2 linked regions of the Macaca mulatta genome follow. The protein of the gene in region 2 purifies or fractionates together with the protein of the main gene of each other region. This does not show direct contact. Links are inferred from orthologs where the notes say so. Each region holds a gene or a part of one and is shown on either strand. Other genes may lie near its edges. The genes, in order: SIRT1 and FGF11.

Region 1 (6,658 bases), on a different chromosome or scaffold from region 2:
ATCATGCCATTGCACTCCAGCCTGGGCAACAGAGCAAGACTCCATCTCAAAAAAAAAAAAAGAAGAGAAAAAGTAAAAACTTCAAAAAATATACATATATTTTTGAAACACTCTTGCTCTGTTGCCCAGGGTGGAATGCAGTAGCAGATCATCGTTCACTTTGAGTCTTGAGCTCCTGAGCTTAAGGGATCTTCCCACCTCAGACTCCTGAGTGGCTAGGTCTACAGGTGCACACCACCATGCTCAGCAAATTTTATTATTTATTTTGTAGAGACGGAGTCTCATTATGTTGCTCAGGCTGGTCTCAAACTCCTGGGCTCAACTGATCCTCCTACCTTGGCCTCCCAAAGTGCTGAAATTACAGGCATGATGCAACATGCACAGCCCAAAATACATTTTATTTAACCCAGTATCAAAAGTACTTCAAAAGAATTCAAAATTAATTTTAAAAAGTATTTTTTCCGGCCGGGCGCGGTGGCTCACGCCTGTAATCCCAGCACTTTGGGAGGCCGAGGCGGGCGGATCACAAGGTCAGGAGATCGAGACCACGGTGAAACCCCGTCTCTACTAAAAATTACAAAAAATTAGCCGGGCACGGTTGTGGGCGCCTGTAGTCCCAGCTACTCGGGAGGCTGAGGCAGGAGAATGGCGTGAACCCGGGAGGCGGAGCTTGCAGTGAGCCGAGATCGCGCCACTGCACTCCAGCCTGGGCTGGGCGACAGAGTGAGACTCCGTCTCAAAAAAAAAAAAAAAAAAAAAAAAAGTATTTTTTCCATATAAAAACCAATATTTGTTTAACATTTGATAAGTAAAACTAATGAAATACTTTGTATTTTCCATACTGGATCTCTAAAATCTGATATATCTTTTACACTTATTGCACATGTAAATATATTTCAAGTACTCAACAGCCACATGTGGCTAGTGGCTTCTGAACTGGACAGTGCAACTATACAGAATAAGGCTCCTCTGCAATTTGCTGACAAAAATGCAACCCAAGAATCTTCCCATTCTCTAATTAGAAATGATTTTTCAGGCACATCCTTGTTAAAATTTGACTACAGAACACCAAAGTAATGTTATAACGCCTTTACAATCTCTAATAAAATATTAAAAATCACAAGTTATGTTACTTTTATATGGTGTACAAACCTCTTTAAAAAGCCCAGGCAGAATAATGACCATTGCTGAAGGGCAAATTTTAAAAATATGAAACTGTCTCTTTGAAAATAAGCTCACTCTAAAATGAAGTAGATGATAGTCCTTCTCTAGGAATAAGGGAATTCTGGCCATAATGAGTGATCTTCCTCCGCCACAGTAGCAGCATCCACTTTACTAAACAATGAATGATAACCTTAAGGTGGCTATATATGAACAAAATACATTTTCATGAGAGAAAGCCAAAGAAACAACCAGAAGAGTTCATAGTACCTTTGCAAACTTGAAGAATGGTCTTGGATCTTTTCTGAAATATTCAATATCAAACATCGCTTGAGGATCTGGAAGATCTGGGAAGTCTACAGCAAGGCGAGCATAAATACCATCCCTTGACCTGAAGTCAGGTATTCCACATGAAACAGACACCTAAAATGTGCATGGCATAATTTGTAAAATTAAATCTTCTACCTTTACAGGAACTAGCTAGCTCTCTTACCATATAATTAGCTAAGAGTTGAGAAAGAAAATTTTAGAATGAAATGTCTTTTAAGAAATAAAAATGGCCGGGCGCGGTGGCTCAAGCCTGTAATCCCAGCACTTTGGGAGGCCGAGACGGGCGGATCACGAGGTCAGGAGATCGAGACCATCCTGGCTGACACGGTGAAACCCTGTCTCTACTAAAAAATACAAAAAACTAGCCGGGCGAGGTGGCGGGCGCCTGTAGTCCCAGCTACTTGGGAGGCTGAGGCAGGAGAATGGCGTGAACCCGGGAGGCGGAGCTTGCAGTGAGCTGAGATCCGGCCACTGCACTCCAGCCTGGGTGGCAGAGCGAGACTCCGTCTCAAAAAAAAAAAAAAAAAAAAAAAAAAAAAAAAAAAAAAAAAAAAAAGAAATAAAAATACGCCGGGCGCGGTGGCTCACGCTTGTAATCCCAGCACTTTGGGAGACCGAGGCAGGTGGATCACCTGAGGTCGGGAGTTCAAGACCAGCCTGACCAACATGGAGAAACCCCGTCTCTACTAAAAATACAAAATTAGCCGGGGTGGTGGCACATGCCTGTAATCCCAGCTACTCGGGAGGCTGAGGCAGGAGAATTGCTTGAACCCGGGAGGCGGAGGTTGCGGTGAGCCGAGATCGCGCCATTGCACTCCAGCCTGGGCAAAAAGAGTGAAACTCTGTCTCAAAAAATAAATAAATAAATAAATAAATAATAAAAATACAACCCTACCCCTTTTTTTTATTTATTTTTTTTTTTCCGAGACGGAGTCTCGCTCTGCCGCCCAGGCTGGAGTGCAATGGCCGGATCTCAGCTCACTGCAAGCTCCGCCTCCCAGGTTCACACCATTCTCCTGCCTCAGCCTCCTGAGTAGTTGGGACTACAGGCGCCCGCCACCGCGCCCAGCTAGTTTTTTGTAGTTTTTAGTAGAGACGGGGTTTCACCGTGTTAGCCAGGATGGTCTCGATCTCCTGACCTCGTGATCCGCCCGTCTCGGCCTCCCAAAGTGCTGGGATTACAGGCTTGAGCCACCGCGCCCGGCCACAACCCTACCCTTATTTCAGAAATAAAACTCCCAAATAACTGAGAAGAATTAAATACACCTCATATTCCATCTTTAACACAAATAAGGAATTTTTAAGTCAGGCTAATTTTAAGCCTTTTAAGCATTTAGCCAACAAATTAAAGCAAATACAATTTGAGAAGAAAATAAACCATTTCAATAAATTATTTTAAGGAGAAAGTAGGGAAGAATTTTTTTTTTTTTGAGACGGAGTCTTGCTCTATTGTCCAGTCTGGAGTGCAGTGGCACGATCTCAGCTCACTGCAAGCTACACCTCCCAGGTTCACACCATTCTCCTGCCTCAGCCTCCCGAGCTGCTGGGACTACAGGCGCCCGCCACCACGCAGGGATAATTTTTTGTATTTTTAGTAGAGACAGGGTTTCACCGTGTTAGCCAGGATGGTCTCAATCTCCTGACCTTGTGATCTGCCCACCTCGGCCTCCCAAAATACTGGGCTTACAGGTGTGAGCCACCGTGCCTGGCCTTTTGTTCTTTTTTTTTTTTAAGACACTTTCGCTCTAATGCCAGGCTGGAGTGCAGTGGTGCCATCATGGCTCACTGTGGCCTCAACTTTTCCGGCTCAAGCAATCCTCCCACCTCAGCCTCCTGAGTAGCTGGGACTACAAGTACACACGAGCACACCAGGCTAATTTTTTGTAGAGACAGGGTCTATGTTGCTCAGGGTGATGTCGAACTCCAGGGCTCAAGTGATCCTCCCACTTTAGCCTCCCAAAGTGCTGGAATTACATGCATGAGGCACTCCACCAGCCAAGAATTTCTATTACAGAAAAATAATTCCAAAGAAATTGCTCCTTTAGTTAGGATTCTATTACCTCAATACTACAATTTTCTTTTTCATTAAAAAAACAATGTATAGCCAGGCGCGGTGGATCACGCCTGTAATCCTGGCGCTTTGGGAGGCCAAGGTGGGCAGATCACGAGGTCAGGAGTTTGAGACCAGCCTGGCCAATATGGCGAAACCCTGTCTCTACTAAAAATACAAAAATTAGCTGGGTGTGGTGGCGTGTGCCTGTAATCCCAGTTACTCGGGAGGCTGAGGCAAGAGAACTGCTTGAACCCGGGAGGCAGAGGTTGCAGTGAGCCAAAAGACTGTGCCACTGCACTCCACCAGCCTGGGCAACAGAACAAGACTCTGTCTCTCTTGAAAAAAAAAAAAAAAAAAAGGAAACAAACACTGTACAGGCCAGGAGATGCTGAGGTTGCAGTGAGCCATGATGGCACCACTGCACTCCAGCCAGGGCAACACAGCAAGACGCTGTATCCAAAAAAAAAAAAAAAATGTAATATTTCAATTATTCATTTCTTTGAGACTTATGCACTAATCGTACAAAAAAATCCTGACATTTCAGATAGCGATTCCAGAAGTTATTGTTTCATCATCTTACCAGAGTTGACTCCAATTTGACCTGGAGTCAAGGTCAATTCAAGTTAAACAAACTTGTCTACATCGTTATCTGTGAGCAAAACATTCTCCTGATGATCATCTAAGATTATGCAACACCCTTTCACAACTCGAAACAGCAGAAAACAGGACAAAATTTTACAGCAGTTGCTCTGGCTGCTAACATGTAATATACTCTGCATAAAACACACACTATGCAATAGCCTTAGGTAACTAATTAGCTGCAACCCTAACGTAGATCAAAGAGAACATGTCGCCACAATCACATCATCTTAATTAAAACGGAGGGAAGGCAGGAATCTGTTATCTTCCCAACGTTAAGTTTTTCACTTGTGAATACCAAGTAGGTTTCCAGTTTCTCATAAAGATCGAACAAATAGCCAATTTCTCCATCAGACTCTGACATCCCTTAACAAAAGCAGTTTCAATTCCCTGCATCTCCTTTAGGAGCTGTAATAAAATGCAGGTAAAAATCTTGCCTTAACTCCATTTATCCAGTGTGCTATAAATAAGCAGAAGCAAATATTTTTTTAAGGCTGTTGGAGAGGTTTTAAAAATCTGAACTAATTTAGCAACTGCTGCTGCACTCAGTTTTTGGCAGTTTCCAAACATCCATTATCACGTAAGGATAAATCTTTCTAAACCAGAAAAATGCTTCCTACTTGGAAAAGGCATGAGAAAATACATATACGACTTCCCACATTTACTAGTCTTACATACCCCAGCTCCAGTTAGAACTATAATTTTTTTGCACTCTTGCAGTAATTTCACAGCATCTTCAATTGTATTAATATCTTTTCTTTTTTTCCTTTTTGGTGGTTCTGAAAGGATATTAATAACAATCTGCCACAGTGTCATATCATCCAACTCAGGTGGAGGAATTGTTTCCGGCAATAAATCTTTAAGAATTGTTCGAGGATCTGTGCCAATCATAAGATGTTGCTGAACAAAAGTATATGGACCTACAATAAGGGGGAAAAGACTTAAAGTCAACTTATCAAGTAACTAAAAATCTCATTTATTTTCTGAAGTAATGAGTTAGTAACCTGTGAGGGTTTTTTGCAAAGTAAGAAAATGCAATTTAATGGTATTCTATTCTCAGTACACCCTCAAAATTAATGCTATATCCCAATGAGATTAGGAAGATCTAATCAAGAGTTGGGAAGACCCCCTTGAGCTATAAGTATATATTTTAAGAGTCTAATTAACAACTAGAATTAAGTTCTTATGGTTAATACCTAGAAATACACAGTAACAAAAGTATTTACCAAAGGGTTCTACAAATCAACACAGAAAAGATCTTACCAGTCCTAAAAGCCTGTATTACTTATCATTAAAACCACACAGGAAAAATAAATGAAAATCTATACATAACTGCCATCTTAATTTTTTTCCGGTAATTTTTCAATTTGATCTTAACCAATCTTCCAAGATAATACATACAATGTTGATGTTCTGAGAAATAATCATTTTCTTTTACCCTGAAATTGCTCAAACCAGCTCCCTAGCTTGAGAAAACCAAAAAAAATTAATAAATAAATCAGACACCAAAGAGAAACTGATCTTCACTGTTTAAATAGTCAAGCCATTTGTAAGAGTGAGAACATAAAAAGATCCACTTTCAAGATGGTTATGTTATACCTTTGGTATAAAAAAACTGATAATGCTTTCTATATCGAAATACTTTCCCGCTTCATTCACATATTTATTAAGTATTTACTGAGCACAAACTATGTGCCAGGCACTTTTTTAGGCACTGACAAGACAGGAGTATACAGGTCAGTCAAAAATTCCTGCTCCCATCGAGCTTATATTCTAGACCAGGAAACAATACAATTTAAAAAATAAGATACAGAGCTTGTCAAGAAGTGGTAAGTGTAAAATAAAGTGAAAAAAACAAAGAAGGAATATGAAGTGAGGGAGGAAGATATTCTAACTGGATGAAGAACACTACACAAAAAGGGTACAAATGAGGCTGGGAGAGGTGGCTCATGCCTGTAATCTCAGCACTTTGGGAGGCTGAGGCGGGCGGATCACCTGAGGTCGGGAGTTCAAGACCAGCCTGACCAACATGGTGAAACCCCGTCTCTACTAAAAATACAAAATTAGCCGAGCATAGCGGTATATGCCTGTAATCCCAGCTGCTCAAGAGGCTGAGGCAGGAGAATCGCTTGAACACGGAAGGCGGAGGGTGCGGTAAGCCGAGACTGCGCCATTGCACTCCAGCCTGGGCAACAAGAGCGAAACTCTGCCTCAAAACAAAATTATCAAAAAACATACATTTACTCTCTAAAGTTAACAGCTCTGAGCCATACCTATCCGTGGCCTTGGAGTCCAGTCACTAGAGCTTGCATGTGAGGCTCTATCCTCCTCATCACTTTCACAAGAATGAAAACCATTAGTGATAATTTCATCACCGAACAGAAGGTTATCTGCAAAAGAAACCAAGTCAGTCAAGGCTGCCAAAACAATATGCACCTAAAATGTATGAAGACCTATAAACGGTTATAGAGCAAT
Region 2 (6,758 bases):
ACGCTGGCGGTAGAGAGCAGAGGCGTACAGGACGTAGTAATTCTCAAAGACACACTCCTTAAAGCGACACTCAGCTGTGAAATGCGGCTAAGGAGACAAAGACCCAGAAAGGCACACAAAGACAGAGAGATAAAAAGACACATCACTGGGCAGGAGGGAGCTCATGGAAAGCACAAGCCAGGATAGATAGATATAATCCATATGCTTTTTGGGGGAGGGGGAGGGCAACTTCTGAGTCCTTGTAGGACCTGGGAGCAAAGGGAGGACAAGGAAGAGGCCTGGTGGGCCCTTGAGGGCTAAGAACTAGGCTCTGGGCCAAGCGCAGTGGCTCATGCCTGTAATCCCAACACTTTGGCAGGCTGAGGCGGGTGGATCAGCTGAGGTCAGGAGTTCGAGACCAGCCTGGCCAATATAGCAAGACCCTGTTACTATTTAAAAAAAAAAAAAAAAGAACTAGACTTTTAGGGGTCTTGGAATAAGATTCCTTCTCTCCACTGTATTCCCAATTTCTCACTATCCCCTATCCTGGATGACTCTAGGGAAGTGAGTAATGACAAAATCTGGAGGAGATGGGATGAGTAGGGGCCCTAAAAGGCAGAAAGAGTTGGACATTCAAAGAGCCTGGGGCTGTGTTGGGGGTGTGCAAGGAGTGGGCATTGGAGAGACCCTAGAGGAGTTGGTCCGGAATGGGCAGTGATGACAGGCCATCAGCAAAAGCTGGAGGGAGGAGTCCCAGGCAAAATGTCTGTAGTTGAGGAAGACTGTCATTCCCTCAAGGGATAAATTGAGGAAGGGGAGTTCCCGGTATTCCCCAGCCACTCAGCCTCATTGTCTCACCGAACTATAGAGCAGTCCCTCAGCATTCATGGCCATGTAGTGACCCAGCTTGGCGCTCTGGATGGTGACCACACGGAGGCCTACAGGGATCAGGTTGAAGTGGGCTGGGGGTGGAGAGAGGGAACATCAATACCCAGGCCTCTGACCCTCACCTGAGCTCCCCTCATCCCAGCTCCGCATTTTCCCTTAGGGGTCAGGAAGACGGACCAATGGCAACAGAAGCTGAAGAGGGAATAGGATTGTCATCTGCTGTCCCCATTCTCCCCCTTCCCACCCGGCGGCCAGCTTCCCCTCTCACTGAAGGAGCTGGTATCCTCTGGGGTGCCCTGGATACTTCCGTCGGGATTCGCCTGGAGGTAGAAACCCTGGCGGCAGAACAGTTTGGTGACGATGCCTTTGAGCTGAGGCTCTGGAGAGAGAGACATTCATCTTTGAAAATGACATCTCTGTTCCCAGAAACATTCCTACACTTGGCAGGATCAGAGGATGAAAGGAGAATGACAGGAAGGAAGAGGGTCCCAGGGCCCCAGCTCTCTTACCCTCCAAGCACGCTCTCTCCCACCTCCCTTTCACTCCTGGGAAAGCTGATGTGGGTCCCTTCTGCTTCCTATAACCAGGAGCTTTCAGTGTAATTTATTGAAATTTATTTAAATGGCTTAATTCCTACCCTACAGCTTAACCAGAAGCGGGGAGGAGTGGGGGAGGAGGGAGGGGAGAGATATATCAAAAGGCAGGGACAGAGGGAGACCAGCAGGGGTACCGAAGGGGCAGTGTGTTTGCGAAGGTGGGGGACAGTGGCAGCAGCAAATTGACCACAGGGTAGGGGCTCTCCCTCAGGGGTGGGGGTGGGACTGGGCCTGACGCTGACTCAGCACCTGCTGCGGCTGCCGCTAGCTTGGCGAGAGCCTTGCCTTGGCCCGGTGCCGGTCTGTCTGACACTGACCCGTCTGTCTGTCTGTCTGTCTGCTGGCTCGCGGGGGCCCAGCTCTCCCTGAGGCTCAGCCTCTCCCCTTCGGCCAGGTAACCCGCCTGGGGTAAGGGGGACATCACCAAGGATATGGGGGGTGGGAGCTGAGGAGATGGAAAGGCAGGCTGAGTCACGTGGGGGCCCGGTCCCACTCAGAGGGTGGGCTGCGGATTGTACCACTATGGGCAGCCGGTGGCGCGGGGAGGAGGGCGCGAGGGGGCTACCCTTAAGGGAGTTGGGAGCGGGCGGGAGCAGGGCCAGAGGGACTCCCTGACTGTCGCACCTGGACGGGGACCACACTCTAACTCTCAGAACTCTCCTCCCCCATCGCTTGCTCTCTGCCGACTTCCCTGTCCCCCCTTGTAGGTGGTACGACCCCCAAGAGTCTGCGCCCATCTCTAGCCGTGAACTGTGTCTGAGTTCCTCCCAGCGTAGGGTCCCCTGAGCCTACGGGACCCGATTTCGGAGTGGCGCGGGGGTTATGGGAGGGGGTGCCCAGCTCCGTTCTTGAAGCGCAGGTCACGGGAGGAGGGCGCATAGAGGGCTGGCTGGCGAGGTAGCTGCAAGGACACCCGAGGGAGAGCTGGGGAGATTGGCTCGGAGCCAGAAGAGCTCGACCAGGAGGAACCGAGCCCAGGCGTGGAGGAGCGGGAGAACCGGGGCGGGCAGGGGCTGGGGGGGCGTGCTGCTGGAGCTGCAGAAACCCTTGGGGTGACCCAGGCATCTGGAAACCCCCAGGCCTCTCCGCTCCAGATTGAAAGAATCGCGAGAACCTGCACGTAGGCGGAGGACGATGGGGGTGGGGACTGCTGTGTTGGGAAGGGGGGACAAGCAGGAACTGCGAGGCTTTCGGGGATACAGACTTAGCCCCTCAAGCCTTCCCCTTGACCTCGAAAATAAGGAGACTCCGGGTTATGGACTAAAGAGAAGGGAAACTGAGGCACAGTCTGGCAGGGACTTTGTAGTCCTGGCCCACCCCCTTCCACTTTCGAGGAGCCCCTCAGCCGGGCCCTATCCTTCAGAGTCCCTGGCCTCAATCTCCCAGGCAGAGAAACCTCTGGCCGGGAGACCCCGCCCCAGCCGCACTCACCCGGGCCGCGGTCCGGCCGCGCGGGCCGCCCCCCGCACAGTCGCACCTTGGACAGCAGGATGAGGAGCTGCTTCTGGCAAAGGGACTTGGTGCCGCGGGGACACACCCGCCGCTGTGCCGACACCGGCCGGCTGCCCCCGGGCTCGCGGACCTCCCGCTTCTGCCGGATCAGGCTACTGGCCAGCGCCGCCATGGCGCCCCGGGAGGAGACACCCCCAAACCGGCCAGCGCCAGGAGCGCGCTGGGCTCCAGCCCGCTCACTAGGGCATGCTCTTGACGCTCAGGCCCCGACTCGCTGCCCCACCCACAGGACCTGAGGATAAGCCCCAGAACCCCCCACCCCACGTACACCCCTCCACAGCAGCCAGTTGCCACCCGTGGGCCCAGTGCTGGCTCCACCGGATCCAGCAGCCTATGTACTCCTCAGTGGATCCCACCCTCGAGTTTTGCCTCCTACTGAAAATGTCCCCTTTCCCTCCTCTCCAGTGTCTGTCCCCACTTCACCTATCCCAAAACCAAGACCCCCCAAATTTCCAAGACGTGGTTAAAATATCTCCAGGCACCTTTCCACTGTATTTGGGGGCACACTTCTACCAAATCCACTCTTGTAATCTACAGGGTGTGGGACTTTAGCTTTGGGGATATTCGCTCATCCCACCCCTACCGGGGCACTGCCAATGTCAGGAAGGAACCCAACCTTGGTGTTTTTTCCTTTGCTACACTCTAAATGGAGGGGATCCCCCACTTTTTTCACTGAAATCTCCCCAAAATATGTCTCAGAGTATCCAGGTTGCCCAGATTCAGTAAGACGGGGCTCCCAGACCCTCTGGCTGGATAACAGCTTTTTCACCAAGTCACCCCCATGTCTAGTAGCATAGAATTCTAGCGGCCAAGACCGTTTCTTCACCTTCACACCCTCCGCTCCTTTTGAAGTCACCTCCAAATCCACCCTTCCTAGTGGATACACCACGTAGTTGTCTGGAGGGCCTTCCACCACCTCAAAATGAGGAGCATCCGTGTTTGCTTTTTTTTTCTCCCCTGGCTGCCCCTTAAATTTTCTTGGGGACAGCTGGTGCTGTTTAGATCCCACGCCCTCCAATCTAACCAGCCCCCCGAGAGAGGAGTGCACCCACGTTGTCACCAGTCCCCAAATGTGAACAGGCCCCCCACAAGTCAGAGCGGATCACAGCTTCCTGCGACAGGGCTTCCTCGTCCTCCCCGGGATTGCCTATAGCACCCCCTCTTCCTTTCCCCGACGCCCCTCAACCTGTCCTGTCCTGTTGATCCGGCGACGGGTGGCGCTGGCTTCGGCTCCAGGCTCCTCCCTCCCTGTCCCCCGCAAACGGAGCTTCCCCCCACGCCCGGCTAGGCGTCCCGGACCCTGGGGAAGGAGTGAGGGTGTCTCTGCAGAGCTCCCCGGTCCGGCGAAGTCAGAGCACTGGGCCGGTGGCTGGACCAGGCAGAGCGGCGGCAGCGGCGGCAGCGGCAGCGGCTGTGGGAAGCTGAGGCGGCGGCGGCGGCGACAGCAGTTCCCCCTCCTCGGAGAGCCGGCCCGGGGGCGGGGCAGGGGGCGGAGACGCTGGGAAATAGGAGGGTGAAGCCGGGCAGGAGGAACCCCGGGGTTCCTTGGAGGTAGAGAGCGCGGACTGTGTCTTACAAGCAGGCAAAGCCGAGGCAAGGCCGCACGTCTCAGCCTTCAGAGAAGGAGGGACAAGAAGGCCTCCCGAACGCACCTCTGGATAGGAAGGAGAGGTTGGGCCCAAGGGAGATGGAATGGCGGACGCTGGGAGAATGGAAAGGGACCCTACTAGCCGGGATGTTAGCGAGGACAGAACAGCACGAGGAAAGTGGGGGAAGAACTGGAGAGATGGAGGAGGGGTAGTGGTGAGATCCAGCCTCGGGCGAAATCCGGCCTCCTTCATATCTCTGCCTTTGTGTGTGAGCCAAATTGATCAGACCCTGGTCTCCATAACTCCTTTCCGCGTTTGGTCAGCAAACATGTTTCTCCCATTTCTATTGACCCTTAAGAGAAATGACCAAAAGAACTGGGGACAGACGGTTTCTGGAAGCTGCCCCTGGGCGGAGTGCTGGCCACAGAAGTGTAGAGTAGCGAGGCTGGAATGGGGCAACTTGTGCCGGGGCAGGCGGGTGGTCCTAGAGGAGGAACCAACAGGGAGGCCTTCCAGAAGGGGGGCTTCAGGCCCAGGGCACACAGTCAGTCCCCCAGGCGAGGGGCGAGCTGTGCCCCCCACGTCTCGCTCGCCCACAGAGGCACTTTCCACTGGTAGGAACAGCATCTTTAATGGGCCCCGCCCCCCACGCCGGCCAAACCGCCCCCTTTGCGGGCCACCTTGGCCTCCTCCACCGCGGCACGGAGGGCCCGGGCAGGGTCCCCGCGGAGCCGGACCAATTCTCCGAGCAGCGCAGCGGAGCCGTCCCCGGTACGGAGCTCTCGGCCGTTCAGAAAATAGTGAGGCAAAGTCCCAGCCTCGAGCACTCGGCCCAGCTCGTCTAGCAGCCCGAGGCAGCAGGCGCCCGCATTTTCTGGCCGCGCCAGGTAGAGCGCGGGCAGCCGCTCGCACGCCCAGTACAGCAGCGTCCGCAGGAGGTAGGGCGCCGCTGCCCGGGTCCCGGCCACCAGCGGGCGCAGTAGCGCCTGGGCCGCCGCGTGCGCCTGTAGCAGCGGCGCTGGTATGCGCGCTTTGAGCGCCAGCTCCTGGCGGGCGAAACAGAGCTGCCAGGCGGAGGCGCACGGTCGCTCGGTGCCGCCACCGGGCACCAGGTAGAAGGAAGCTGACTCAGAGGCCAGAGGACCAGCCCATGAGTGGCTCCGAGCCCCCTCGGGCCAGCCGGCCACGGATACCACTGGGATCAGGTCGAAGAGCAGGAGGCGGCGAGGGGGATCAGGAGTAGCCAGAAGGACGGTGGTGAAACCCGCGTGGCGAGCTGCGTGCACCAGACGCGGAGCACCCGGGACAGGGATCAGAGACTCGGCGACGGCCGCCAGCGTAGCAAAGAACCAGGTAGCCACCTGGGAGGGACATAATGTGGGCCACGCTTCCCGAGCCTCCGACGGCTTTGGGACTGGGCTTTCGACGTCTGCCTTGGTGACGTCACTACTCAGTGTTTTCAAAGGCGCGCTAGAGCCAAGGTCGACGACGTCATACTGAGGCAACTCGGACGATGAAACGTCACTAGGTGATTTTTCCAAAGACACTGGCGCCTCGTGCTCAGTGACGTAGCTGTGCGGCTGGTCTACAGAGCTTTGCCAGTCCTTGGAACTTTCTTCGATCTCCGTTCGGTGGATCGAATCACGTGCTCCTGGGACTGGGGGTCCTAAGCAATCCTGCCACATCTCCCGGATAGGGGTTCCGCACACCAGCTCTGGGAGGCAGACCTGTGCGTAACAGGATTCCAGGTCCAGTTGCACTTCAGTGCCGTCCAGTGAAAACATGGGCACTAGGAGTGTGAAGCCGGCATCGTAGTGAGGTCCTCGGGCGTAGGGACCCAGGGGTGCATGCCCCAGATCCAGGGAGCCCTCGCGAATCCCACCACGAAGCAGCAAGAGCTCTGCCTGGGGAGGAAAGCGAGGGTCCCGGCGGTGAACTAGACCTAAAAAATGGAACGGATCGTGAGGGTGTCGCCCAAAGCCGGGGCGGGGGCGGGGGCGTAGTGAGGCTGAGAGCTGTGAGCTCCCAAAGGCAAGTAGGGTTACTTACCAAGCAAAGAGAAGACAAAGTCCTTGGCCCGGAGGAGATCGGCTCCGGGCTTGGGCCCGTCACTCCAGCTCTCCTGCACACCCAGCTCCTGGATCAGCTGCGTCAATTCCTGCAGCTGTGCCCCGGAGCAGAAGTCGATGTCCGT

Evidence for each region.
Region 1: the proteins of FGF11 (region 2) and SIRT1 purify together in Homo sapiens (affinity purification with mass spectrometry; 3 studies listed by BioGRID and IntAct, with this or other methods). This does not show direct contact. The link is inferred for Macaca mulatta from reciprocal best matches to the Homo sapiens genes FGF11 and SIRT1.

The regions. Positions count from the first base shown.
Region 1 is NC_133414.1:81,874,800-81,881,457, forward strand, and holds part of SIRT1 (NAD-dependent protein deacetylase sirtuin-1), read right to left. Parts: intron 6,574-6,658; coding exon 6,457-6,573; intron 5,104-6,456; coding exon 4,862-5,103; intron 1,585-4,861; coding exon 1,432-1,584; intron 1-1,431. UniProt on the Homo sapiens protein: NAD-dependent protein deacetylase that links transcriptional regulation directly to intracellular energetics and participates in the coordination of several separated cellular functions such as cell cycle, response to DNA damage, metabolism, apoptosis and autophagy.
Region 2 is NC_133421.1:8,921,976-8,928,733, reverse strand, and holds the start of FGF11 (fibroblast growth factor 11), read right to left. Parts: upstream 4,455-6,758; 5' UTR 3,088-4,454; coding exon 2,895-3,087; intron 1,937-2,894; exon of another isoform or gene 1,885-1,936; coding exon of another isoform or gene 1,713-1,884; intron 1,666-1,712; exon of another isoform or gene 1,263-1,665; coding exon of another isoform or gene 1,247-1,262; coding exon 1,136-1,246; intron 942-1,135; coding exon 838-941; intron 88-837; coding exon 1-87. Other genes in the region: TMEM102 (transmembrane protein 102), read right to left, coding at 5,194-6,506, 6,614-6,758.